Linked DNA regions of Cricetulus griseus. The protein of the gene in region 3 interacts with the protein of the main gene of each other region in a pairwise test. Links are inferred from orthologs where the notes say so. Each region holds a gene or a part of one and is shown on either strand. Other genes may lie near its edges. The genes, in order: Gse1, Qki, Rbpms, Pogz, Fam168a, Sema4g and Znf488.

What was found.
Region 1: the proteins of Rbpms (region 3) and Gse1 interact in binary tests that used the Homo sapiens proteins (3 or more experiments, as listed by UniProt). The link is inferred for Cricetulus griseus from reciprocal best matches to the Homo sapiens genes RBPMS and GSE1.
Region 2: the proteins of Rbpms (region 3) and Qki interact in binary tests that used the Homo sapiens proteins (3 or more experiments, as listed by UniProt). The link is inferred for Cricetulus griseus from reciprocal best matches to the Homo sapiens genes RBPMS and QKI.
Region 4: the proteins of Rbpms (region 3) and Pogz interact in binary tests that used the Homo sapiens proteins (3 or more experiments, as listed by UniProt). The two-hybrid records come from large-scale screens. The link is inferred for Cricetulus griseus from reciprocal best matches to the Homo sapiens genes RBPMS and POGZ.
Region 5: the proteins of Rbpms (region 3) and Fam168a interact in binary tests that used the Homo sapiens proteins (3 or more experiments, as listed by UniProt). The two-hybrid records come from large-scale screens. The link is inferred for Cricetulus griseus from reciprocal best matches to the Homo sapiens genes RBPMS and FAM168A.
Region 6: the proteins of Rbpms (region 3) and Sema4g interact in binary tests that used the Homo sapiens proteins (3 or more experiments, as listed by UniProt). The two-hybrid records come from large-scale screens. The link is inferred for Cricetulus griseus from reciprocal best matches to the Homo sapiens genes RBPMS and SEMA4G.
Region 7: the proteins of Rbpms (region 3) and Znf488 interact in binary tests that used the Homo sapiens proteins (3 or more experiments, as listed by UniProt). The two-hybrid records come from large-scale screens. The link is inferred for Cricetulus griseus from reciprocal best matches to the Homo sapiens genes RBPMS and ZNF488.

Annotation. Positions count from the first base shown.
Region 1 is NC_048596.1:196,859,103-196,863,157, reverse strand, and holds the start of Gse1 (genetic suppressor element 1), read right to left. Parts: upstream 2,801-4,055; 5' UTR 1,990-2,800; coding exon 1,075-1,989; intron 1-1,074.
Region 2 is NC_048595.1:290,489,551-290,493,493, reverse strand, and holds the start of Qki (protein quaking), read right to left. Parts: upstream 2,801-3,943; 5' UTR 2,757-2,800; coding exon 2,615-2,756; intron 1-2,614. UniProt on the Homo sapiens protein: RNA reader protein, which recognizes and binds specific RNAs, thereby regulating RNA metabolic processes, such as pre-mRNA splicing, circular RNA (circRNA) formation, mRNA export, mRNA stability and/or translation.
Region 3 is NW_023276807.1:51,013,785-51,016,480, reverse strand, and holds the end of Rbpms (RNA-binding protein with multiple splicing), read right to left. Parts: intron 752-2,696; coding exon 620-751; 3' UTR 501-619; downstream 1-500.
Region 4 is NW_023276806.1:61,643,436-61,646,935, forward strand, and holds part of Pogz (pogo transposable element with ZNF domain), read right to left. Parts: intron 1,490-3,500; coding exon 1,383-1,489; intron 629-1,382; coding exon 291-628; intron 1-290. UniProt on the Homo sapiens protein: Plays a role in mitotic cell cycle progression and is involved in kinetochore assembly and mitotic sister chromatid cohesion.
Region 5 is NC_048596.1:98,713,128-98,716,627, forward strand, and holds part of Fam168a (protein FAM168A), read right to left. Parts: intron 2,216-3,500; coding exon 2,073-2,215; intron 1-2,072.
Region 6 is NC_048596.1:16,576,008-16,580,215, forward strand, and holds the start of Sema4g (semaphorin-4G), read right to left. Parts: upstream 2,801-4,208; 5' UTR 2,425-2,800; coding exon 2,301-2,424; intron 2,208-2,300; coding exon 2,059-2,207; intron 1,836-2,058; coding exon 1,773-1,835; intron 1-1,772. UniProt on the Homo sapiens protein: Cell surface receptor for PLXNB2. May play a role in axon guidance.
Region 7 is NW_023276807.1:185,393,951-185,396,641, forward strand, and holds Znf488 (zinc finger protein 488), read left to right. Parts: upstream 1-1,177; coding exon 1,178-2,191; downstream 2,192-2,691. UniProt on the Homo sapiens protein: Transcriptional repressor. Plays a role in oligodendrocyte differentiation, together with OLIG2. Mediates Notch signaling-activated formation of oligodendrocyte precursors.

The DNA.
Region 1 (4,055 bases), on a different chromosome or scaffold from region 3:
ATCAAAACCTTAAAGGCAACTCAAGACCAAGGCCAACTCGTGAGGCAGTTGGGGTTGTGAGCCTGGGAAAGGGACACCCAGGCACAACAAAGATTGCCTCATAGGTCAGCCTCCATGTGCCCAGGCATATCTCCCCCCCCCCCCTCTCTCTCTCTCACACACACACACACACACACACACACACAATTGCAGGAACCAGATACTTTACACACAGCCTTTCCTGAACTGGACCCACCTAACCACCCTTATGTCTCTCTGCAGGTCCCTGGCCAGTCACTGCCACACAGGCCTCTCTCTGTCCAGGACAGGACAGTCTGTTTGGTAGGAATTAGGATCCCAGCCCAAGGGCAGGACAGTGAGTGCAGTTCACAGATGCCTGCCTGCCTGCCTCCCTGCCTGTTGCCCCCTTTCCCAGGGCCACCTGGCCAGCTCCTGCCCAGTTTCTTACAAAGCTAGGTTCTATCATCCCAGTGCCCTGACTGTCTCCTACCAGGCAGACAGCTGCATCCTGAGAACAGGCCCCAGGCCTCGGCTCAGCTCCACGCAGCTGACTTGAAGAGACTAACCACTGCAAAGGTTGTCTAGGCCACCATCCTGGGTCCCATGAGCCTGTGTCCCACGCCTACACGTCTGGAATCTGTTGCCATCTGCTTCATAAAGCCACCAGGAAGACTCAAACGAAATGCACTTGGGTGGGAATCTTGGGAAGAGCGAGGCAGCCAGGAGCTCGTCAGAGGAACTAGCCACCTCCGGGTGACCTGCGTGGCTACACTAATTACCAATGTTATCGGGCGGACAACAGCCGTGCCCTGAACTTCCTCCGTTTGATAGATTCGTGGCAAACACTCCCAGCTTCAGCCCCATGCCTGCTGATTCCAGCAGCAGCTATTCTTCCACCCCTGCCCCCAGACCCTCTAACCTCCTGCCCCAGGCCTCCAAGGTCAGCCAAGCTAGCAAGGCAAAGAGAACGCCTCCTGCTGGGACACTCCATACAGAACCAATGATACTGCCAAGGAACAGAAAACATCTCTCCTTTTGAGACACAGATGCTCTGAGATGAAAGCTACTGCTTACCTTTGTTGCTCCTGCTGCTGGGGAGCTCCAGCCCATGGATCCCTGGCTGACAAGCCCTTGACCTGCACAAACCAGGGTCCCACATTCCACGCAGGCACCAATGATCAGCTGCCGGCCATCATCCACCAACAGGCTGTGGCTGGCTCTCAGGGTATACAGGAACAAGGGCAGCCTGGCCACCCTCACTGACTTCAGCCCCAGACACCGTTTCTTCTCTTGCTGGCAGAAGAAGCATACGAACGTGTCTACCTGGTACTGCCTAGACCAGGCGCTGACAGCCTGGTGAGCGGCTCTGGCTTCGTGCTGCAGCCACTGACCCAGCAAGTCATGATAGCAGAGCACACAGGTGGCCACCAGGCCGGTGGAGTCTGCAGGCCTGGCCCGTGGGGCGGGCGGATAGACAGTGAGGAAAGGAAAGAAGGGCTCCTTCTCGCCCAGGTGGCTAGCGGGGTTCATGCTGAGCTGGAACTCCTTGCCCGGCCCCAGCTCAGCCCCACAGATGTAACAGACGGCAGGCGGGCCTCCCTGTGCAGAAGCGGGCAGATCGCTTAGAGTAGGGTCCGAGGCCGAGAAGGCTTGGTGGTACCTGCCCAGGAAGCCTTGCACAGAGTTGATGAGTTCACGGTTGTGTGATGCCCGGTACAGGGCCCAGACGTCCTCCAGGACGCTGAAGCACTTGGGGCAGCTGCGAACCTCGCAGTGCTTGTTGGGGGGCCGAGCATTGGGTGGGCAAGGCAGGAGGCTGAGGAAAGGGAAGTGCATGGAGCCGCCCGAGTTGCCATTGACGATGCGGGAGGGCACTGCCCGGGCATCCCGTGTACAATCCTCCCCGCAGAGGTAGCAGGCCTCCCGCAGCAGGCCCGCGGCAGTGGGGGGGCCCTCCTCTCTGGGGAGTCTCCGGGCCTTGGAGGCCATGCCGGGGGCGTGGCTGTTCAGGGGAACCACGTAGAGCCGCTGCAGGACAGGCACGTTGGCCAGCTCGAAGCTCTGCCACTGGTGCGTGAGGGACGAGAAGCAGCAGGGACATACGAGGGTGCTGCCAGCCTCAGTGATGGGCTGGGCTCCGGGCGGGGGGCTATGCAGCCACAGAAAGGGGAAGAAGGGCGCCTGGGAGGGCGCCTCCTGCTTTTGCACGTGGATCTGCTGCTGCGAGGCCGGCGACAGCGCCGACCCACAGACGTAGCAGCAGCGGGCCTGGCTGTCCGCGGGCGTCGGGGGAGGCCGCTCCAGGCCCTCGTCCCCGAGGCTGCCAGCGACGTCGCTGCCCTCGGGGGTGCTGCTGCGCTCTGGGGGCCCTGCGGCCCGGCTAGAGGCGGCGCTGTCCGTGCCGTCAGGGGCAGTGGGGATGGGCCAGGGTTCCTGGACGCCCCTCAGCACGCTGGCCCGAGGCGGCTCCGGAGTCCAGTGCGTCCCGGGGCCCGTGCGTCGGCGCCGGACTCCGGGCTTCGTGGCGTCGTGAGCATCCTCGGGCTCAGGTTCCGGCTCGGGCTCCGGCTCTGGTAGCGCGTCGGCGTCCGACAGCTCCGACAGTTCCGAGTCGCGCGCGTCCTCGGCGTTCCACTCGCGGGCCCCGCGCCGGCCACCCGCGCTCGCGTCGCACTGGTGCGGCCGCTTGAGCCAGTACACGCGCTTGTCCACGGGCGTGCGCGCGCGCTCGAAGGCGGCCCACTGCTCCGCCAGGAAACAGCGGCACACGGCGCACACCAGCACGCAGCCATCGGCCGCGCTCAGCCCGCGCGCGCCGGGCGCCGGCTCCTGCTGCTGCAGGAACGGAAAGAAGGGCTGCGCGGGGCCCGCCGGCCTCACCGGCAGCTTCAGCTCCTTGCCGCGCGCGATGCCGCCGCCGCAGATGAAGCACGACAGGGCCGCGCCCGCCGCTGCCATGAGCCGCTGCTTGCGGGAGAGCGGCGCCGCCCGGCCGCTCATGGCCCGGCCGCCGCGCCCGCCTCCGCGCTACCCGCGGCTGCCGCTGCTCCGGCCGCGCCGCCCGAGGCCCCGCGCCCAACTCGCAAAGTTTGGCGGGCGGCGGCGCGCACGCGGCCCGGGGCGCACGGAGGGTCTCTGCGGCGGTGCCTGGGGCTGCTGAGTCCCCGGCTGGCAGCGGTGCGGGCCCAGGCGGCGCCGGAGAGCGCGCCCGGAACGTGGAGGTGGCGGCAGTGGCGACGAGCCCCGGGCGGCTGCGGCGGCCGCATGTGCGAGCTCCGGCGCCGGCCAGAGCGTCGGGTCATTTAATTGGGAGGAGGGAGGCGGGGCGGCGCGGGGCGGAGGGCGCGGGAGGGAGGCGGAGGCGGGGAAGCCCTCCCTCGCGCCGCCCTGCTGCCCGCCTCCACCCGGGCTCCTCCTCCCTCCCCCCCCCTCCGACTCCTCCTTCTCCTAATCCTCTTCTCCGTCCCCTCCTCCCCTGCCTCCTCCTCCTCCTAATCCTCCTCCCCTTACCTCCTCTCCGCCCCTCCTCCCCTGACTCATCCTGTCCTCTCCATCCTCCTCTTTCCTCCTCCCCTGACCTCTTCTCTCCCCAACCCGCCCCCCACCCCCGTCTTCCCTCCCCATCCTCTCTCACCCCCCTGTGTCCCAAACTATGGCACAATAGCGTTCAGCTCCTCTGTCTATTCTGTGTCCAGCAGGAGCCCGCAGTGATTCATTGCTCCAATTAGGGGCTCTGCAGCCCGTGGCTCGGGCTGTCTGAAGGGTCTCCTTTGGGACCCACGAAACCCATCAGCCGCTGCCGCTGATCTTTAAGGAAAGGTCAAGCCGGACGCATTAGAGCCAGGTGAGGACCGATGGGTACCAAGGGAGACTTGGGAAGAGCACCCCCACCCCCTCCCCCAGAACCTGGGGAGGTCCTGGCCGTTCAGTAGCCCAGGGTTGGGGTCACCTTTCTGAGTTCAATGCCCTAGTTTTTAGAGACAGAAGGAAAAGGAGTTGTCTTCTGCATCACCCTGGAGACAGAGTCCTCACAGCCTGCCCCCACCCTGACTGGC
Region 2 (3,943 bases), on a different chromosome or scaffold from region 3:
AAGTTGTTAGTCAACTGAAAATTCTCAAACAGGAACTATATTAAAAGCTCACTGCTTGAAAGTATTTTAAAAATAAAATTGCTAGACAGTCCCATTCAAAATTTCTAACTATCAGAGAATAGAATATCTCAATGCCATTGAACAATTTAATCCCTAAAGTGAAACTTAGTTTTATCTGAATTTAAAAGTAATCTTTCTGCCAAGCATTACAGACAAAGGAGAGTGTAATCCCTAACCACAAACACAAGTCATGATTAATTTGTTTTTGGACAATGAGAGGCCACAAGGGGGTAAAGCACAAGTTGCCAATTTTCACAATTAAGTCATCTAGCAAGAAAATTATGATCTTGCACTTAAGAAACCAGTATTTTCAAGTCAAATTAAATTTATAATAAGACTAGCAAGTACAGGAAAAGGCTTATAACACATTAAGGACTAGCCCCTGTCCTGCAACATTTGCTCTGATATGATTAAAACAATCACACTTCCTATTCATTCTGAGGTCTATTGTAAACACACTACCTACAAGCATGGAAGTTCTCTGTATACTGGCCTAATGCAGACTCCTGAGTACAGAAGGCAGACTGAGGTGAAAGATGGAGAAAACAGGAAAAGGAAAGAAACAAATATTATTTTGAATACTGTAATCCTAAACTAGCTTTCTTTTACATTTGGAACACAAAGGGTTACTATTTCTAACTAGAGAGTAATAAACAAGCCTGTGCAGAAATAATGACATAATTGAAATTCCTCCAGCTGACTTATGCCAACCTCAAACTAAGGTGGTTATATCTGATCAGTCTGAAAGACTACATGAGCAGCCTTTTACAACTAATCGAGGAAACTCCTATAGTATTTCCAAACTTTTTATGATCTCAATATGTCACTTGAGTATACGGAGAACTTTAAGAATGCATATTAATCCATTTTAAATGCTGTCTAGGCGTGTAAGAGATTCCCCATACACTGTACTTTTAAAAAACTATAATTTTCATCATAAATTTCACAGTAATACCATGAAAACAACACACCAAGTGAAAAAATAACAGTAAATTAGGTGTTGTCTCTGAAATCACATTTGTGGATAAATAATGACAGGTGAAGTCACCTAAAATTTAAATTTCTACTGAACTTAATATAGGTCAGATTTTTAAGCATGCTAGACATTTTGTTCCAAACATTCCAAGGTTAAAAAAAAATAGCTGGCGCCCCTTAGCGCTCACATTTGGAAATACTCAATTGAAGAGTTCCAGCACACACACACCCTCCTTTTTTTTTTTTTTTTTTTTTTTTTTTTTTGACATTCCAGAAAGTTTTCTGCCTCCACAATCTTTCAAATGCCAACACAAATAGGCAAAACCCCTTAAAGGGGCAGCACAACTTTCCTCCGAGGCGTCTGAGACTAACAGACACGCGGACCCAAAAGTAGGAAATGTCCCTTTCGACTTGTTACTGTTGTATGCATGTTCAGGCGTCATAACTGAGCGCTTTCTGCCTCAAGTCCTGCCTATGGCTCCCCACCCAAAAGAAGCTCGCTCTTAGCTCGGAGGTATTCAAAGTCTTTTGTTCTTCCCTGATATGCCTGCTCCTTGAGCATAAATTTTGATTTCTCTAGCTGTATTTGAAAATATTTCGAGATTCTTCTCAAGATGCTAAAATCCACTGTTCATCCGCACATCAGCACAGTTTTCCGCTTCCTTCAGACAGCCCCCCGCCTGGAGACTTTTAAAAACAAAAGGGAAACTCCCCGCTACACGGTTTTCAAAGCGGACTTGTTGGTCCTCCTGCCCCACAGGCCGCCCCGGGAATCCGCGGAAACCCACGGCTCCTGGGAACTAACACTCCAGGTCGCTGCTGAGAGAAGTTCTTAGAGGACTGCCAGAGCTGACCAGCATGCATCTTCTAGCCACTCTTCGCTCCCTGCAGCGCTCCCAACTCGGCTTCTGCAAACTTGCGCTCTATTTTATTCCCGTCCTTTCAAACTTCCAGCTCCCCGCCCCAGGGACGCGGGCGGCTACGCCTGGAGCTAACCCTCCGCCCCAGTGAGTTCTTCCGAACTCGGATTCCGTTCAGGTCTGTCATCGCGGTATTTCATACTCCTCCCCCCGCCACCCAAAAAAAAAAAAAAAAAGTGAAGTTAAACTCCCAAACAGTTCTCGCTTCCCTAAACAAAGGACAAAAAAAGTGCTGTGCTCTGTGTCAGCTCGTGCTCGCCTTCGGCCACATAAGCACTACTTTTCGGTACCCTACGTAATCTGTGGACACCCGAAGAGTCCACTCCTGTACCGCGGGCCACACAACTCCACTGAGACGGGCACCCCCAGCCGGGGCCCCGCGGGCGAGGCGAGGCAGAGCTCGCGTGGCCCGGCCAGATCGGTCGGGATGGCGGGGTGTCTATCTGCCGCGCCGTCGGGAGCTGGCCGCAGCCCCGCCGCCCCGCCGCCCTGCCGCCCGCGAGCTCCGGGTCCGCCCTCGGGCCTGCCCCGGCCCTGGCCCCGACCCGCCGCGAGCCGCCCGCGCCGCCTTTGTGCGCCCGCCCGCCTGACCTTCCCGCCGCCCCGCCATCCCGGGCCGCCGCGCCCGCCCGCTCGCCCGCGGGGGTCGAGAGGCTCACCTTCGTCCAGCAGCCGCTCGAGGTGGTTGAAGATCCCGCAGAAGTTGGGCAGGCTGCTCATGAGCTTCTTGTCGTTCATCAGCTGCATCAAGTAATCTGGGGTGGGCTTCGGCTTCTCCTTCGTTTCCATTTCCCCGACCATATTCCAGGCTCCGCAGCTCACTCCGCCCGCGCCGCCGCCGCCGCGCGCCGCCGGAGGAGGAGAGAGGAGGAGGAGAGGAGGGAGGGGCGGGGCGAGCTCCGGCCGCCGGCCGCTCGGACGCGGCGTCCCGCTCCGCGCCGACTCCGCTCCGGCTCCCGCGCCGAGCCCCGGGGCGGCCGGCTCCGCGCGCCCGCCCGCCCCCCCGCAGGCACTTTCGCCCGGCCCGACGCGCCGCGGCCGCCGCTCCTCGGCCGCCCGGCGCGGCTCCCCTCGCGAGGCCGGCGGCGGAGGCGGGTCTCGGGGCCGAGCGCGGCGCGGGGCCGCTGCGCCGCGAGGAGTCGAGGGGCCGCTCGTCGGCCGGTCGCGCCGCCTGCGCCGAAGCTCGCGAGTCTGCGGTGCTGTCCGCCGCGGCGCCCCCGCGTTGCCGCCGCCGCCGCCGCCGCTCCGACTGCCGCTCCTCCTCTTCCTCCGCGGCTCTCCTCCTCCTCACTCACTTGGCGGCGGAGTTCGCCTCAGTTCAGGCGGCGCTGCCGGCGGCGGCGGGGGGAGGGGCGCGGGCAGGGCCGGGGGCGGGCGGCGGGCCGGGCGCGCAGGGCGGCCGTTACGGGGCTAGGCGCGCTCCCGCCCCCCGCCGCCGCCGGCGCCCCTGCCCCTGGCCGCTCGGGCGGGACGGACGGACGGCCGGCTGGTGGCCGAGGGCCGGGCCGCGGCTGAGGGGGACGCGCGCCGGCTGCGGCGGCCTGCGCGGGGCCGGGGTCGCGGCTGAGGGGACGCGGGCGGCGGCGCTGGCTCGTCGGCGCGCTGTTGCTGAGGCGGCGGGCGCGGTCGGGCGCGTCGGCTGAGAGGAATTCCGGCGGGACTATGCGCGGGCGCTGCGCTCGCCGCCGCCCTGGCCTCGCCTCTCGGCGCGTTACTATAGTTTGAGGGGATTTTTTTCTCTCTCTTTTTTTTTTTAAAACCTCTTCGTCCACCTTCCTCGCCACCCCTCAGGAAAAGAAAAAAAGGAGAATTTTTTTTTTTTTTAACGTCCTGTTGCTTCACTGGGGGCACTCTCGGGTGGGCATCACGTGGCCCGACACGTAGCCGTGAGGCCGAGGGCGCGTGCGCGCGTCGAGGGCTGTGGCCACGCCCCTTCCGAGGGTCGCCCCGCCCTATCGGCCGGAGAGCGCGCCTGCGTGGGGGGCGAG
Region 3 (2,696 bases):
CAGGTGTATGCCACCATTAATTAGATCAAAAGCAATGGGATTTGATGGTACATAAGTACCATTAAACCAGAGAGAGAATTGTAGCTCATGACTAGATAGAACCGAACTAGAAATGGGATCCAACTCAATAACGGAGGTCCCATTTTGGGGGTCTTCCCTTCCTTGGGAACAGAGCAGGCACACAGCAGTATGTGTCCCCTAGCTAGATCTGGCAGCCTTGTTGGTGCTGATGCAAGAACTTCTGGTAGCCGATGACCTGTTGGCACGAGGATCTTCTAACATGAAGCTCAGGGTGGTTTCGGAGCTCGAGAAGATGGCAGCGGCATCGATGAAGCCCTGGAGCTGGGCGCAGTCTTCTAGGGTGCTCTTTCAGAATCTGCTCCCGTGAAACATGCAACTTAGCTTCTACGGGCCAGGTACTCACAAACTCAGCCAGAGATTAAATACTTTTGCTCCAAAATTGTAGCACCATGAAAACAAACTCTGTAGTCTACTTGAGATCATTTTCCCTCTGATTGAAATTTTTATTGAAATCTCTCAAATATCATCAAGAAATAGTTTTTTGTTTTTTTGATTTTTTTTGTTTTTTGCAAAAGGGGGGTGGGGGTTGCTAACAATTTCAACATGGGAGCTCCCTCTGCTGGTCTGCAGTAGGCTGATATGTGACAAACACATTCCCAGAGACAAATCTAATTTGCTGGAGAAGAGGACAAAAGACAGGTGTGTTGGGCTTTGCCTCTGGAGAGAAACACTAGAAGAAAAAAAAAAAAATCCATGTCTCAAAACAAAGCACAACATTGCAAAAAATAAAAAATAAAAAAAAGCAAAATCAGAAGAATCTCCAAGACACTCAGTTTCCAAAACAAAACCCCAGGCACCTAGGAAGGGGCCCCCACTCTGCTCCCCTCTAGTCAGTATTCTCGGAAGCCATCTTGGCCTCCAAGGCTCTCCTGACAGATTTCCCATTTACTTAGAAAAGAAAGTTCCAAGAAATCGCTGGAGCAAGGCCTCTCCAAAATTCCATCAAGAGTAAAAGAATTAGGTGAGCTGGCGCCTTGCTGTTTTAGCAAGGGAAGCAGGTGACAGACCTGCTCTAGAACTCTAGAACCACTGTGACTTGGGACAACTCTCCATCTCCTCAGGCCCTGTTCCCTGTCTGTGTAACGGGCTGGATCAGTTGTCTGCAAAGCTACCAGTTCACTCCAACATGGACAAATACATTTATTAAGAATGTTCATTTAAATGACTCTACAGAAGTGAGACTCGACATGGATCTCACCACCAGCAGATCGGAGTTCCACCAAAGGTAGGGCTGATGGCTGAGTTAGGAGGACTGCAGGCTGGGGAAGTCTCAAGAGAAGGGGGTCGTGTGGGTGATGTATGCCAACGAGGCACACGCCGTGATGCATCTAATCTTGCACTGGGTCTCCATCCCTCCTCACAGGGGCGTAGGCTTTCTAAATCTCCCAAGACCCTTGTTAGAGAGCCTTTACCCTCCATATCCTGCAAATAATTCCAGATGTCATGTCACATCATGACCAAAGCCAGTCTTCCCAGGTCTTTCTGGGCATTAGCAAGCCTTGATTCTCCAGGCAGCAGTGAATGGCTCTGTTGCCCGATGTGCAACCTTGCACTGTTTCATGGTGTGTACTGCTAATAACCCCAACAGTTGGTTGCTCTGTTCCTGAACCCTAAGCAAGAAGGGCATACCTGCACACGAAGTGTGGGGCACACAAAATGGGGACTTTATGGACCTTTGTTGTCAACAAAGTTATCCACAGCACAAAACCACTAACGACTCAGCTAAAGACAGCCACCACCTAGCTGCTCCTGCCTGCTACCTGGCAGTCACCAGGGTTACTGAACACTGACCCATGTAGAGACACCGGGCAGAGGGTGGAAAAGCAAAAGGCACACCTGATCCTTGACTTCAGTTTGTTTCTTGAACCAAGGCAAGTCACTGCCACCTCTGCACTTTTCCTAACTCCCCACACTGCTTTGTACCCCCTCCCTGAAGAGGACAGACAATATCTGTTCCCGGGCACAAGACAATGGGGTTCCCTTTGAACTCTGTCTGCCTGAAGCAGATGATGCCCCAGGGAGAACAAACAGCTAAGGAAACCAGTTGCCAATGCAGGCAAAAAGCACTGGAGTCTCAGATAAAGAAAGGTTGGCCTGCAGTACTCTTGACACAGTGGATTGGGAACACTCTCTGGGGCTGCTCCCAGGCCTCTTAATCAGGACATGAAGGGGTATCATCCAGCCTTGGAAACAAAGACCATGCAAAATAAACACCCCCCCACACCTGACCAGTCTGACAATTTACAAAGATTTATAGTATTTGTTTAGTTTGGGTGTCTGCACGAGTACTGGTGTGGAGGGCAGGGGACAACTGGCAGAAGGCAGCTCTCTCTTCTACCTGTGGGTCCTGGGGATTGAACTCAAGCTGTCAGGCTTGGCGGCAAGTGCCTTTGCCCAATGGGCCATCCTACCAGTCCACAGCCAGCAATTTTTAAGAGGCCAGGTTGAGTGGCATATGTAGTAAGACAGATAGAACCTATATTTTACTTGTCAATGGCCAGCAATAATTGTCATGGGCTGACTACATGAGTGGTTATGCCAAGGGTGAAGCTCGGGTCTCATTATTATCCTCAGCTCTCAAAAGAACCATGGCTTCCAGGGAGAGGAAGAGCTGG
Region 4 (3,500 bases), on a different chromosome or scaffold from region 3:
GGGAGTCAGATCTTGGAGTTACAGATAGTTGTGATACCATGTGGGTGCTGGGAATTGAACCCCAGTCCTCTGGAAGAGCAGCAGTGCTCTCAACTGCTGAACCATCTCTCCAGTCCCCAAATAATAGGTTGTTAAAACTAAAATTAGGTTCTGTGCAAAGAGACTGGTATCCTTTATTAATAAAATAACAGTATTGTACACTATAACTTCTAACAAGACTGCATCATAATTAATGTTTCCAAAAAGAAAAACTTAACAAGGTAAGAAAATTTGTCTACTTTCATGCTTACCTAATGTTGTTCTTTAGCCTTTTGGTACAATGAGGGCATCGGAAAGATGTGGCAACCTTAGGAAAGCTCGTGAGCTGGGCTACCTTGCCCCCATCCCGTCCATAGTAAAAGTCATCAACTAGCATAATAAGCTTGGTCTGGACGCCATCTCCAGCGTTCTCATTTGGCTCTGGTACTTTGGTAGGTGGTGAGAGAGCAGGAATAGGTGTAGAGGAGGGTGTGGAAGTGATGGGAGCTGTCTTCTCAGGGGATGAGGGCTTTGCTGCCAATGGAGTACTGGCCTCTGCTTCGAGGGACTTGCCTTTCTTCTGGTACTCAACCATTTCAGGGCAGCAGTACTGTAAAAGAGATGACGTCATGATTCTGATTACCCGAGACTAGGATGAGCTAAATCCATATCACTAATAGTCCCTGGGAGTGATCTGTTAATGTAGGCAATAAAGGATATGTTTGTGGACACTGGGATCTCTGCTCAGGATAGTCCAGGAGTAGCTGGACTATAGGCATTCATTAGCACACCTGAGCTGGGTAAGGTGGTTATCTTCCAGCTTTCATCTTGCTTTTTTTAGTAATCCCAGAGTTCACATTTTTCTTTTATATGTCCACAGAGCCTCTAACACTACACCTTTTAGAGCTCTCCCACCTGCCTGTCTAGAGACTTATAATAGCATCATTTGACTTGGAACATTCTAGAGAAAGAAGTTCCAACCTTTTCATTTGGACTGATACCAGAAAGTTACAAGACTATAAATAAAGCAGGGACCAGGTAACAGGTTTTAATTCTTCTAGTGACACAATTAAAACTGAGCTGAGGTTATGACAATTGTCTGTGGTCTTATGCAACAAACTTGCTGTCCCGCGAGATCAAATCTACCATGCTAAGACAGTAAGTGTCCCATCACCTATCAGCAGTTTTTAAATGCTGATATCATATTTTCAGTTCACATAGCCCTTTTCTACAATATACCAAAGGAGAGAACAGCATTTACAAGTTTCCAAGCCAGTTTAAGCATCTGATTTTCATGCTCTCACTATCAGAGAGGGAAGAGGAGGCCACTTAAGCTGGCTCCTGATACAGGTGGTGTCACTTACACACATGTGACCTCTCAAGGCTTCAGTGACACGGAACTGAGCGTTACACCGTGGACATATTTTCCGTCCACCATCCTGGAGGTCAAACGCTGGGATGGAAGAGGTCACTGGAAGAATGGAGAAGAATTAATAAGATTAATACAGCATACTGGGGCAAGATTCCTGAGAAAACAGCCAAGAGTAAAAAGCAAGCATGAGAGGCATACTTTTTCACTAGGGCTGGCTGGCAGACTGAGAACAAAGGGCATCTGACCAGCAGTCAGTTTCTGTTTTCACTCACGAGCTGGGAATGCCCTTTACCACCACCTCTAATTAGGTAAAGTTCTGTTTCTCTCTCCCACTTATGTCTTTTTTTTGGTTTGTTTTCAGACAGCATATTTGTGTAATTCAGGTTAACCTTGAACTCATGATTAACATGCCTCCACCCCGAGTTCTGAGATAACAGGATGTGCCATATGGCTGACAAGACACCTTTCTTTTTTAAAACTGTAATGGAGCTGAGCATGGTGATGCACACCTATAATCCTAGTCTTTGGGAAGTGGAGGCAAGAGGATCACCAAGTTCCAGGCCAGCTTAGTCTATATATTTAGTTCCATTTGGCCTACATAGGAAGACCTGGTTTTAGAACAAAACAAAACATATAAATTGTGACACTGTGACATACAGAAAGCAATACTCAGCACTATAACTGGCTTTGAGTATGTGCTTTAGGTGGCGAAGTACATCCATGATGTATAATTTTCAGAACTTTTTTACTTACTTAATTTCATGTGCCTTGGTGTTTTGTCTGCATTCATGTCTGTGTGAGAGAGTTGGATCTGCTGGAACTAGTGTTACAGACAGTTGTGAGCTGCCACATGGGTGCTGAGAATTGAACCCAGGTCCTCCGGAAGAGCAGCCAGTCCTCTTAACCACTGGGCCATCTCTCCAGCCCTCCAGAACTCTTCTTACCTTATAGAACTGAAACTATTTTGGGGGGAGTTCCGCCTGAAACAGCACCTCTTATAGCCCATACCATCGCTAAAGGCATGATACAGTGGAAGCCAGCTCTGAATTCCCGCTCCTCCTGCCTCCATGTGCCAGGGTCTAGGATAACACATGTGTGCTATACCCATGGCCTTTCTGTACCAGGGTCTCCTATGTCACACTACTGGCCCAGACTCTGACATTATTTCACATAAACTAATAATGCCCTTAAAGTTTTCCATGTTGTATTATGTCAAAACGACTTCCTATACATACAAGTGATATTACATGGAGTCAAGAAGGTTATTATTTAGGAATATGTATGTATAGATGTACATATGTGTACAATAACAACTGATGAAAAAAGAAGCCATAAATTTAAAGAAGAATGGGAAGAGATATATGGGAAGGTGTGGAGGAAGGAAAAGGAAGAAATGTAATTAAATTTACAATTTCAAAAATAAAAACAACTTTTGGAAAGAAAAAACTTCCTTTTTAACTCTAAATAACATACCATTGTATTAAACAAGACATATTTGTTTACACATTCACGATCTGATGGCAATTTAGGCTGTTCTCACCTTAAGCCTACTGTGAATGATGCAGCTAATGAGCACAGAGGTACAAACTCCTGTTCTAGTCCCTGCTTTCAACGCTTTTCACTATGTACTCAAAAGCAGAACTCCTAAAGCATATGGCAATTAAACTATTTTTTCACAGTATCTGTACTGTGCTATATCCCTGCCAATACGGTATAAGGATTCCACTTTCTCTATATGCTCATCTAAACGTTAAGTTTATTTTGTGTATGTGACTGTGCATGTGGTCAGAGTGTCCATTCTGTCCTTCAGTGTAGGCCCCAGAGATCAAACTCAGGCTGTAAGGCTTGGCGGTAAGAATTCTTTGCATGCAAAAAAATTAAAAATAAAACCAAACAAAAGAAAATCTTTGCACGCTGAGCCACCGTCTTATCGTACCTGAACCACTTTGTGATTTTTTAAAACCATTACAGGGGCTAGAGAGATGGCTCAGTTATTAAGAACACTGGCTGCTCTTTTGGGGAACCCCGGTTTCTCTAGCACTCACACAGTGGCTCACAACCATCTGACACCCTCTTCTGGTTTCTCTGGGTACCAGGCATGCACATGATG
Region 5 (3,500 bases), on a different chromosome or scaffold from region 3:
AATTAGTAAGAGCTTTTCTCCTTTAGCCTTGGTTTTAACATTTAAAAATTTTCAAAATTTGATTCTAAGGCATGTCCATAAGCTGCCCCTAATTTAACAGTAAGGAACACAGTGAGTTTCTGAGCATGGGGACACCAGAACACTGCCACACAGGCAGAAGCATTATTAATGGCATTCATACACCAGTGTGAATGTTGTTGATTTATGTTTGCTATGTCATTATTGGATAGCATTTCCCAAGGTGTCTCGGGAGACAGTAGTCTGAAGTGATGTTGCCCTTCCCAGACCACATGACTCTTCTCAGGTGCTACATTTCAGCCTCCTGAGCTCTGGGAGCAGACAGAAGCATCTGAGATTAATCCAGAAATTCTCTGGCTTTAATAGTAAATAATAAAAGTCTCGCTGTACCCTTAGAGGTTAGACAGCATAGGCTAAGATATTATACCATACTGGAGAAAAATTGATCTAAACTTCCTGTTTTTCTATTTACTTACTTACTTACCTATTTATTTTCCAGACAGACTGGTCTTGAACTCACTATATAGCTGAGGATGACCCTGAACTTCTTCCCAATACTGGAATTAAAGGCACATGTTGTCATGCCCCAGTTTTGTAGTATACTCTGCAACATTGCTAGTTAAAAAAAAAAATGTTTTCTTTATTTTTTTTGGGGGGGGGGTTCTAGACAGGGTTTCTCTGTGGCTTTGGAGGCTGTCCTGGAACTAGCTCTTATAGACCAGACTGGTCTCGAACTCACAGAGATCCACCTGCCTCTGCCTCCCAAGTGCTGGGATTAAAGGTGTGCTCCACCACCACACAGCTTTTTAAAAAAATGTTTTCTATTAGTTGTTTAAATACGTGTGTGTGTGTGTGTGTGTGTGTGTGTGTGTGTGTGTGTGTTTTGCCTGCATGTGTGTCTGTGTGCCACTTGCATGGAGGCCAGAAGAGGGCATTGCATCCATTGAAACTGGAGTTACAGATGGCTGTGAGCTGCCATGTGGGTGCTGGAAATCAAGCCCAGGACCTCTGCAAGAACAGCAAGTGCTTTTAACCACCAACCATCTCTCCAGCACCAGTATAGCTAGTTTTGGGTTTTGTTTTGTTTTGTTTTTATATTTTTCCCAAGACAGGTTTTCTCTATGTAGTCCTGGCTGCCCCAGAACTTGCTCTGTAGACCAGGCTGGCCTTGAACTGGACAGACAGGCCTGCCTTTATCTGTTGAGTGTTAGGATTAAAGGCATGCACCACCACTGCCTGACAACAAAGCTGGGTTTAAACTCCAAATCTTCCCTTACCACTTATACCTCATGTAGAATTGTCACTTCAGAAGAATGTGCCATGCTGGAGTCTCAAATGGTGCTTCCCTCTTGCCTCCTATCAGCTACACACATTCTCCAGCAGAAGAAATCCAAATGGGTCCAATAAGACATACTAAAGAATCATTCGTGCCAGGCATTGGTGGCGCATGCCTTTACTCCCAGCACTCAGGAGGCAGAGGCAGGCGGATCTCTGTGAGTTCGAGGCCAGCCTGGTCTACAGAGCAAGTGCTAGGATAGACTCCAAAGCTACACAGAGAAACCCTGTCTCGAAAAACAAAAACAAAACCCCAAAACAAACAAACAAAAGAATCACTCGCCTTAGGTCACAGTGGGCACTGGTAGCAGACACTGGATATTATTTTTCTTTCCTACTTGGCTCATAGATTTTATCAAGGGAGGTGTGAGATTAAAAGAGGGAAGATCAAGACAAGTGATAGCACAGCCTGAACCAGCCAATAACTCACTGTGTGACCTCAGACAAGCCTTTCTCCTCTGCAGTCTCAGCTTCTCTACTTGTTCAACAAAGGAGTTGAGCTAGATGATTTCTAATGGTCCTCCAGCATCTGGGGCTCTGTTAACCTAAATGACTTCATGCTTCACCCTTTGGAAGTGAGGCAGAGAAGGCAGTCCTGCAGGAATATTGCTTCAGTAATGACAGCTGGCCAGACCCATTAACTCTTTTCTCTTCCTCATCCCATGCCACCCCATCCTTGCTGGAGGCTCCTGCACAAGAGGTCCTCCATGTGTACCTACCTGGGCATACAGATTCTGCTGGGGGTAGGCACTTCTGATTGGATACATGGCCGTCTGATAGGGGTTGGGTGATGGGGAGTAGGGGGGTGGAGCAGTATTACTCTGGGTCGGTGGGACCTTGTATGGTGTCCCTGCAGTATATCCTGTACCAAGGCAATAAAAGAGACCTCTAGTTAGTTGGCAGAATAGCATTGCTTGAAGGCAGCAGGCACCCTGTACCAATTCCTCAAACAAGAATGGGTTGAATCCAGCTGGAAACACAAGTGAGGTCAGATAAGAGAACAGAGCTCCACCCCAGAGCTACAGCCCCAGGCAGCTCCCTCAGTCCTGGTGAACAGGGCTACAAGCATGATTTGGGGCTCTTTTATTTCTCTGGGTTTCAGGGCTTTCATCCAAAACAGAAGCTAGAACCAAATAGTCTCTACTGGGCCCTTTACGCTGACAGACAACCTGGAGTTCTGAGTTGCCTGTGTGGAAAGGCAGATATATACTGACAGATGCCCATTTCTTTCTTTCTTTCTTTCTTTCTTTCTTTCTTTCTTTCTTTCTTTCTTTTTCTTTCTTTCTTTCTTTTAAAGATTTATTTATTATGTATATAGTGTTCTGCCTGCATGTATCCCTGCAGTCCAGAAGAGGGCACCAGACAACATTACAGATGGTTGGGAGCCACCATGTGGTTGCTGGGAATTGAACTCAAGACCTCTGGAAGAACAGGCAGTGCTCTTAATCTCTGAGCCATCTCTCCAGCCCTAGATGCCCATTTCTTTTTGCTATGTTCTGGTTCCTCACTTAGCATCTCAGGATATTTTCTGTTGTCGATTCTATCTCTCTCTGTCTTGCTTCCCCTATTCTCTAACTCCTTGGTTTTTGAGTCAGGGTCTCATTATGAAGCCCAAGCTGGTCACACATGTGTATCCTGAGCACTTCATTCTCTCTCCTTTTCTTCTCTTATCTCCCACTAATGAGCTTCAACGATCATATTCCCTTGCTCTTCACAAGTTTGAAGGAAAAAAAAAAAACATTCAAAAACCAAAACAAACAAAACCACTACTCAGAGATCCTTATCTTCTAGGATATTGAAAATTGCTCTGTAAAGCTGGCCTTTCTTCTTTCTTGTGGCTGGGAGAAACCTCTGCCCAAACACCTGAAGTTAGAAATCAGGAAGACACACAGTGACCTAGAACCTAGGCTATGCCTGTATCTCAGAAGGACGGATAGAAGTAGGGCTCACAAGTCAGGACAGGATTGGGGATGGTGCAGGGTGGAGCAGGCTTTTGTTGAAAGAAAAGAGATGTGGGCTTAGGTCTGGCTTTCTTCCAAACTTGGGTAAATAATGCCAAATCTCTAGACTTTAGTTTTAGGAGGAGATAGGAAAAGTCTTTAATAATAGTGTAAATGATGAATTTCTAAGATAGAATATGTAAAAGA
Region 6 (4,208 bases), on a different chromosome or scaffold from region 3:
GATGAGCTTGGGAAGTGGACACATCTATCTCGACCAGGTGACTTCTCAGAGCCTTAAGGGTGTCACTGTGCACTGTGAGATGGGAATGTTGCCCTCTGCAAACATACTGGACCACTCAGTTCCTCCTTTGAAAATGACTGTCCTTCAGGACGATGCTTTGGGACACGCTCTGACACTTTGCTGCCCAAAGTCGTCTGGGGACCAGAGACAGCATCTTCAGACGGCTTTCTAGAAATATCTTGGGCCCTTTCCAGACCTACTGATCTGGAACCTATGACTCATGTATGAGGGCCTCTAAGGCATCAAACAGTACGGCTGTCATTGTCACAATAAAGCCCAAACCCTGCGTTGGGCATTTATGACACTTTGTGATCTAGGTTCTCCTGCCCCACAAGCTCTGTTTATTAACCACAATGCACTGAGGCAGCCTCTGACAGACAGTTCTAGAGGGGCACAGCACACTCATTGAGTCAGAATCTCTAGGTTGATGGACCTTGAGCTATTTCTCGCTTTTGTTTTGAGACAAAATCTCATATAGCCCAGGCTAGACTCAAACTTGTTTGGGGCCAAGACTTTCTTTGAACTCCTAATCCTTTCATTGTCTTCATAGGGCTGTCTTCATAGGCATGCACCACGACGATGCCCAGTGTGAATGTGTACTCTGTGTGTGTGTGTGTGTGTGTGTGTGTGTGCTTATACACAGGCAAATGCTACCATAACTGGCTTGGAATGTGTTAGGGTTTTTTTTTTTCTTTTGTATCTACTTATTTCATGTGTGTATGTGTATGCCTGTGCTATGGTACACATTGGAAAGAAGATCAGAAGATAACCTGTCTCTCCTTTCACTGTTCGGTTCGTCAAGCTTGGTGGCAAGCACCTTAACCTGCTGAGCCACGTCGCTGGTCCAAGAATGTATATTCTGTTCTTTTGGTTTTTCGAGACAGGGTTTCTCTGTGGCTTTCGAGCCTATCCTGGAACTAGCTCTTGTAGACCAGGCTGGTCTCAAACTCACAGAGATCCAACTGTCTCTGCCTCCCGAGTGCTAGGATTAAAGGCGTGCGCCACCAACGCCCAGCAAGAATGTATATTCTTAAAAAGATCTCTAGCTAGGTGTGGTGGTGCACACCTTTAATACCAGTACTTGGGAGGCAGAGGCAAGCAAATCTCTATGAGTTTGAGGCCAGCCTGGTCTACATACTAAAAGTCCAGGTCAGCCAAGGCTACATAGTGAGACCCTGTATCAAAAAACAAAACAAAACATAACAAAAAACAAAACAAAACTCCAAAATCGGTAAATAAATACAGAAATAAATACAGAAAACTCTGCAAATGGCTGTTACATAGCCAGATATGATCCCCCTCCCAGCAGACAGCCTGCTTTTTAGCTAGAAAGGACTAATGCTTGGCTAAGGTCCCTCCATGAACACCAGGTACTTGGACTAGTGTTCCAGCAAAGTCTCATTTTTCCTATCTGTGAGATGGAGATAATAATGCATCATAAGGTTGTTTTAGAATTAGATCTGGTTGTTACTTATTAGCAGCTACTTATTGTTACGATGATAATTTGAGATCCGACCCCCGGGGGTGGGGATTAAGATACTGTGACAAGCCAGGCGACATGGTCACCCCAAGGCCTGCCTTTCCTAATGTTCACTGTGGTTGTGTATAGTTGGCTGCTCATCTGTACCTCTCCATCTGTGTCCCTCCCAGTTCTGGGACCCCTGCCTGGTTGAGGAGGAAGAAAGAAGAGCTGGGGACAGCTGATCACATACCTGGTTGTTTTTCCCTTTCTGGTGACACTTGCTCTGCATCTCTGGGGAGGCCTCCCAGTGGATCTAGTGAGAATAGAGGAACAGACTGCAATACTGACCTCAATATCCACCACCCAGAGGATCACACAGTGGGGCTCCAGAGTGCGGGGGAAACTGGAGTGGGGTGAATTTGAGAAGGGGCTCTGGGCTGGAAAGGGCCGTGCTGCTCAGAGGCTGGAAGGCTGGGAAAGCCTCCAGGTAACTGAGGTCCCAGGGGGCTGAAGACCCCATGGTTGCCAGGGCTGACCTGTTTGTGAGCCCCATCTCCTATGTCACGGGCACTGAGAGAGAACAGGGCACCTCGAGCTCCCACCAGCAGCCTTTCGGAAGCGTCCTCCAGCAGGAGTGTGGAATAGTTCTGAGCTTGGCCCTTGAAGTGCCGGATCTGGGAGAGCTCTGGGAATAAGAGTGGCAGAGAGCCGTCTGTGGGGGGCTACTTCCTGTCTGCAGATCTGGCAGACATAGCCTTGCAAGGTTGGGGAATCTAACCTCCATAGGAGATGGTTGTCCGTGGGGTGGCATCTAGCTCTCGGGATGGTCTCCGCAGCGAGGGTCCAGGGACTGCTGTTACTGTGAGGAAACTGAAGAGGAGGGGCCAGAGCCTCCCCCACATCTTCCTGGGTAAGTTCAGTCCAACAGGACCCCAAAGGCAGCTGGGGCCAGAGTCACAGGACTGGAGGGGAAGAGCAATCACTGGGGTCAAAGTCCAGGCTGTGATCACATGGAAGGTTAGGGGTCATGAGGCCATGGGGATCAGGTAGTCATGGGGCCATGGAGGATCCTGGAATGGGGGAGACATGGAGCCACAAGGTTGTGTGGCCATGGAATCACAGCTCAGAAGTCAGAGGGATGGATGGGCGGGTCACGTGTCTTTCAGCATCAAAGGCAAATTCCATGGAGAGTGGGCTTTGGAGGGTCCCAGCAAAGTTGTAGGTGACTGAAGGGGTCACCTTTCCCCAACCGAGGGTATGGGGGGAAGTTCCAGTTTCTCTCCGTTTTCTGGAGGAAAAAAAAGCAAACAAAAACAAAATCAAAATCCCTCTGATGGAAAGCCCTTTGATCTGTGTGTGGGTGGAAGATGGTTGGCATTACCCAGACTTCAGGGGCCCTGAAAGACAGAGGGAGGCCCGACATCCAAAGAACTCCCTCATCAAGGCAGTCTCAGACATTCTGTCCATTTCTGCTCTGCTAAAGAAGGCTGTGGTGAACTTACTGTCTTTATAAGACCCTAGACTAGCTTTAACCTATCTATACCCATGGTAACAGCCCTTGCCCAGTCAGAACACTGCTTGGGGCCATCTAGGTAGAGCATTGGTTCTTAGATTGGCCTGTTCCTCCAGCAGTACTGCCTGCGGGGGTGCCTTCTGCAGGAAGGCCTGGGCAGAGTCAGTTAATGGGCCTTTGTTAATTTTGTCCTGTTTTCCCTTTGTTTTTTCTTTCCCATTGGCCTGAGAGCTCCCTTTGGAATTTCTCTTTAATTAGACACTCTCTTTGGCATTTTTCTCTGAGGGGGTGCACATCCCTGCCCTGCCCATGCGAGTCCATACCTCACCCTCTGGCTGGGCATCTACACGAGTCCCTACCTGCTAGACCTACCTGCTGGCAGGCGGCACAAGTGTGAGGGGGTGGGAGTGAGGTGCAGGTATCTAGTTCCGTGAGCTGCACAAGTGTAATGTCTGTGCAGGAGACTGCAGTGTGTGTGAGACCAGGTAAGACCTAAGCAATGTGGAGACAGTGAACAGTGGGATTCTGAGACTCCTGGCCACCCTTAGTCCTACAGCCGAGGTGGAGGTGGGTGACATGGCCTCCCTCTTATCTCCAGGGTATTTCCAAAGATTTCCTGGGCTGGGCAAGGTGTGGAGGAAGCCTGATCCACCCAATGTCATCAGACACCCATAGCCAGGGTCAGAGGGTGTCACCAGCCTCTCCTTTCCTTCTGGGTCAAATATTAACCATATGGCCCTAAAGAGAGGGGAGGAATCTGGAGCTAGTCAGAGGAATAGCAGGAATTTGGAGGGTCTGTTCAGGAGTTAAAGGTGAGCATGCTACGAGAGGAAGAAAGGGGGGTCTCTACCACAGAAAGGGCCTCCTCAAGCTCCTGTTTTGAGGGCTGGGGCAACAGGAGGTTTCAGGCTACCTGAGCCCCACCTTGCTGTAAAGGCACACCTGTTTGCTTTTGGGGCCTCCTATTTGCTCAGCACAGAAGGGGAGCCCTAGGGCTAGCAGAAGTGGGAATTAGTGCTAAGGGTCAGGCAGGAGCCAGTCAGTGTGGAGTGCATGGGTACATGTGTGCATTTAGTTTTGAGTCACATGGTTCCTGAAGAATGTGACACACTTGCTCACAGGTGTGCACACATGTTCAAGTAGGCTGGAGAGCACATGTATTTACAAGAGTCA
Region 7 (2,691 bases), about 130 Mb from region 3:
GCTACTTCTAAGCACGTGTTTGATGGTTAGCTCCCATAGTGTGGGAAGAACATAGGACTCCACACTGGCATCCCTCTGGAAGCCCTCTGGGGCTTCAGTCCTCTATTGCTGCACCCCGCTGTGGCTACCCATGCACCTCCCTTCCACTTGTACTGTGACCTTCTATAGCTTTCCCTTTGTGACTCACAGGATGGCCAGATCTAGGTGAGGTGAAAGCAATGTCTTTATGAAGCTTCCCCACAACAAATACCCATCCTTCTTCCCCGTCCCTGGCTGGTCTATCAAGGCCCCGACTCCCAAAGGACTCCACAGAAAGCACTCCTTATCAGGGACTGGAGTAGAAAAATGCATAAAACTAAGCAGTGGCCACTGTGTGATCGCAGTTAGAGTAGGGTCCACATGGAAAGGCAGCCTGACCATACAAGGCTTAGGTGGGAGTTGGGGAAACACAGGGACAAGGAATCTAAGATTGGTCCAAAGGAACCAAAAGAACATAGTGGAAGCAGGTTGGGGATGTGATGGAGGGAAAGGGGCTGCTAGTGTAGGAGACGGGGAAGGAAAGGAACACCATAGGAACCAAGATAACCTTGCACATTGTTGTTTCCAGATGCTGTGGCTTCCCCCAGGCTCTGGAGCACTAAGAACCAGACTGAGCTGGAGCAGGAGCTGATGGTTCTTTCTTCCTCACTTCAGGGTCATCTTGTCGGTAGGTGTCCACGATCCCCCATTTTCTGCCTCAGAGCAGGCTCCCTTCCCTACCTCTCCAGCTTCCAGGGTTCTGATGCAGGCTTGCTAATCACAGTAGGTGTTTCTGTGGCTTGCCTGCCTTTCCCTGCGTGGGGCCATGGCGTAGTCATCTGGTTCCATTGCTCCAGGGCTCTTTCTGGCAAATGCCTGTCTCCACCTGCTGCCGGAGTCTAAACTATCTGAGCTCATTCTTTCTCCCTTTCTCCTCAGATGACCCTGCTCCCACTTCACAGACATCAAAGGAAGGCCAGAAAAAACTGGCTTGTCTGGTGCCAGCCTACATGATGGGGCACTGACTGACCAGTGCCTGCCTCACTGCCTGTTGCTCTGTTTTTCTGCAGAGACCAGTAGTCAAGTGCATCCAGTCCAGGCTCATAGCTCCTCCTGGGGGTAGGGACAGTCCTTTGGAACTCCAAAGCCCTATAGACTAATGGCTGCTGGAACATCCACTTTGCTTAGCCTGTCAGGTCCTGCTGATCACATGGCTGAGGGCAAAGGGTCTTCTCTGAGTGCTTCAGTTGAGAAAAGATGGAGGCTCATGGAACCCAAACAGATCCAGCCAGGACTGCTCAAGAAAATAACTCTCCTGGACTCTGGAACCACTGCAGGTAAGAGTAGCCAAGATGTGACCTCTTCTGAACCAAGCCTGTCAACAGCACTGAATGAACCTCGAGTGGACAGGCATCTGGCCTGCAAGGCATGCACAGAGCAGAGGCAGGGTACCTTCACAGAACTGTCTTGTCTCCAGAAGAGGCCAGGGGACATTCAAGCCCAGAAGAGGAAGCCAGAGGACCCAGAAGGCTGGCTTGGCAGTGAGCAGCGGCCCTTGGATCATCCCAGAGCCTCAGTGGATGGCACAGTGTGCTCAGTCTGGCCAGGAGCAACCCGAAATGAGCAGAGAAGTGCTTTTAGCAAGCCAGCCAAGCGCCCGGCAGAGAAACCTAGGCGCTCCCCCTTGCTTCTGGACAGTGGAAATGCAGAGGGCCCATGGGAGCTCTCTGGACTCATCACCACTGTGGACATACCAGGATGGGCTCAGCTGTCAACGTTCAAACTCATGGGTGACTTCTGGAGATTGCATACATTGTCACAGAACATTCTGCTCTGTAATGCTTTCCAGGGGGCTCCCGCATCCTGGCTGGATCACACCCAGGTGCAAGTACCCACATCCTCAATGCCTTCTGCCACAGCCTCTCAGGCTCTCTTGCCTCCCACCCTCTCCTCCCCAGGCCTGTCCACTCAGAACTGGTGTGCTAAGTGCAATCTTGCCTTCCGTCTGACGTCTGACCTGGTCTTCCACATGCGTTCCCATCACAAAAGGGAGCATGTGGGCCCTGATCCACATTCTAAGAAACGGAGAGAGGAAGTTCTCACTTGTCCCATTTGTCATGAGTACTTTCGGGAGCGCCACCATCTTTCCAGGCATATGACTTCACACAGTTAGTAGGTTGTTAAGGAGAAACCCAATGGCCATAGAATCCAGAGCTCAGTGTTGAGGCACAAGTGACCCCTAGCCTTTATTGAGAAGGTTGTCATAGGTGTCTTCAAGGTTGCTCTCTTTGCTTCCCAGAGATGAACAGCTCAGTTATAATTTGTCAGATATCCCAGTCCTTGTGATGTGTTTTTCTGGAAAGCCATGCATTAAAATGGCAAGATTGGCTCATGGGATAAGGGGACCTATGACCTAGGGAACAAGGCTGTTCCTGGCTCTGTTCCTAGTTCTCTGCTTGGAAGCAAATGAGCACAACACCCTTGACTTTGTTGGCAAACAAGCCTGCATTCAATCTGGGCTCTCTCACCTGGGAGCCATGACCTTGGACATATTCCTTTAACTTGCTGACCCTAAGTTTTCTCATTTTAAAATGGTGTGTTAATGAAATGTCTTCAGTCTTGAGGAAGGTGTGTGGTAAGTGGCCAGCTCATTTCCTGGTAGCATTTGAAGTT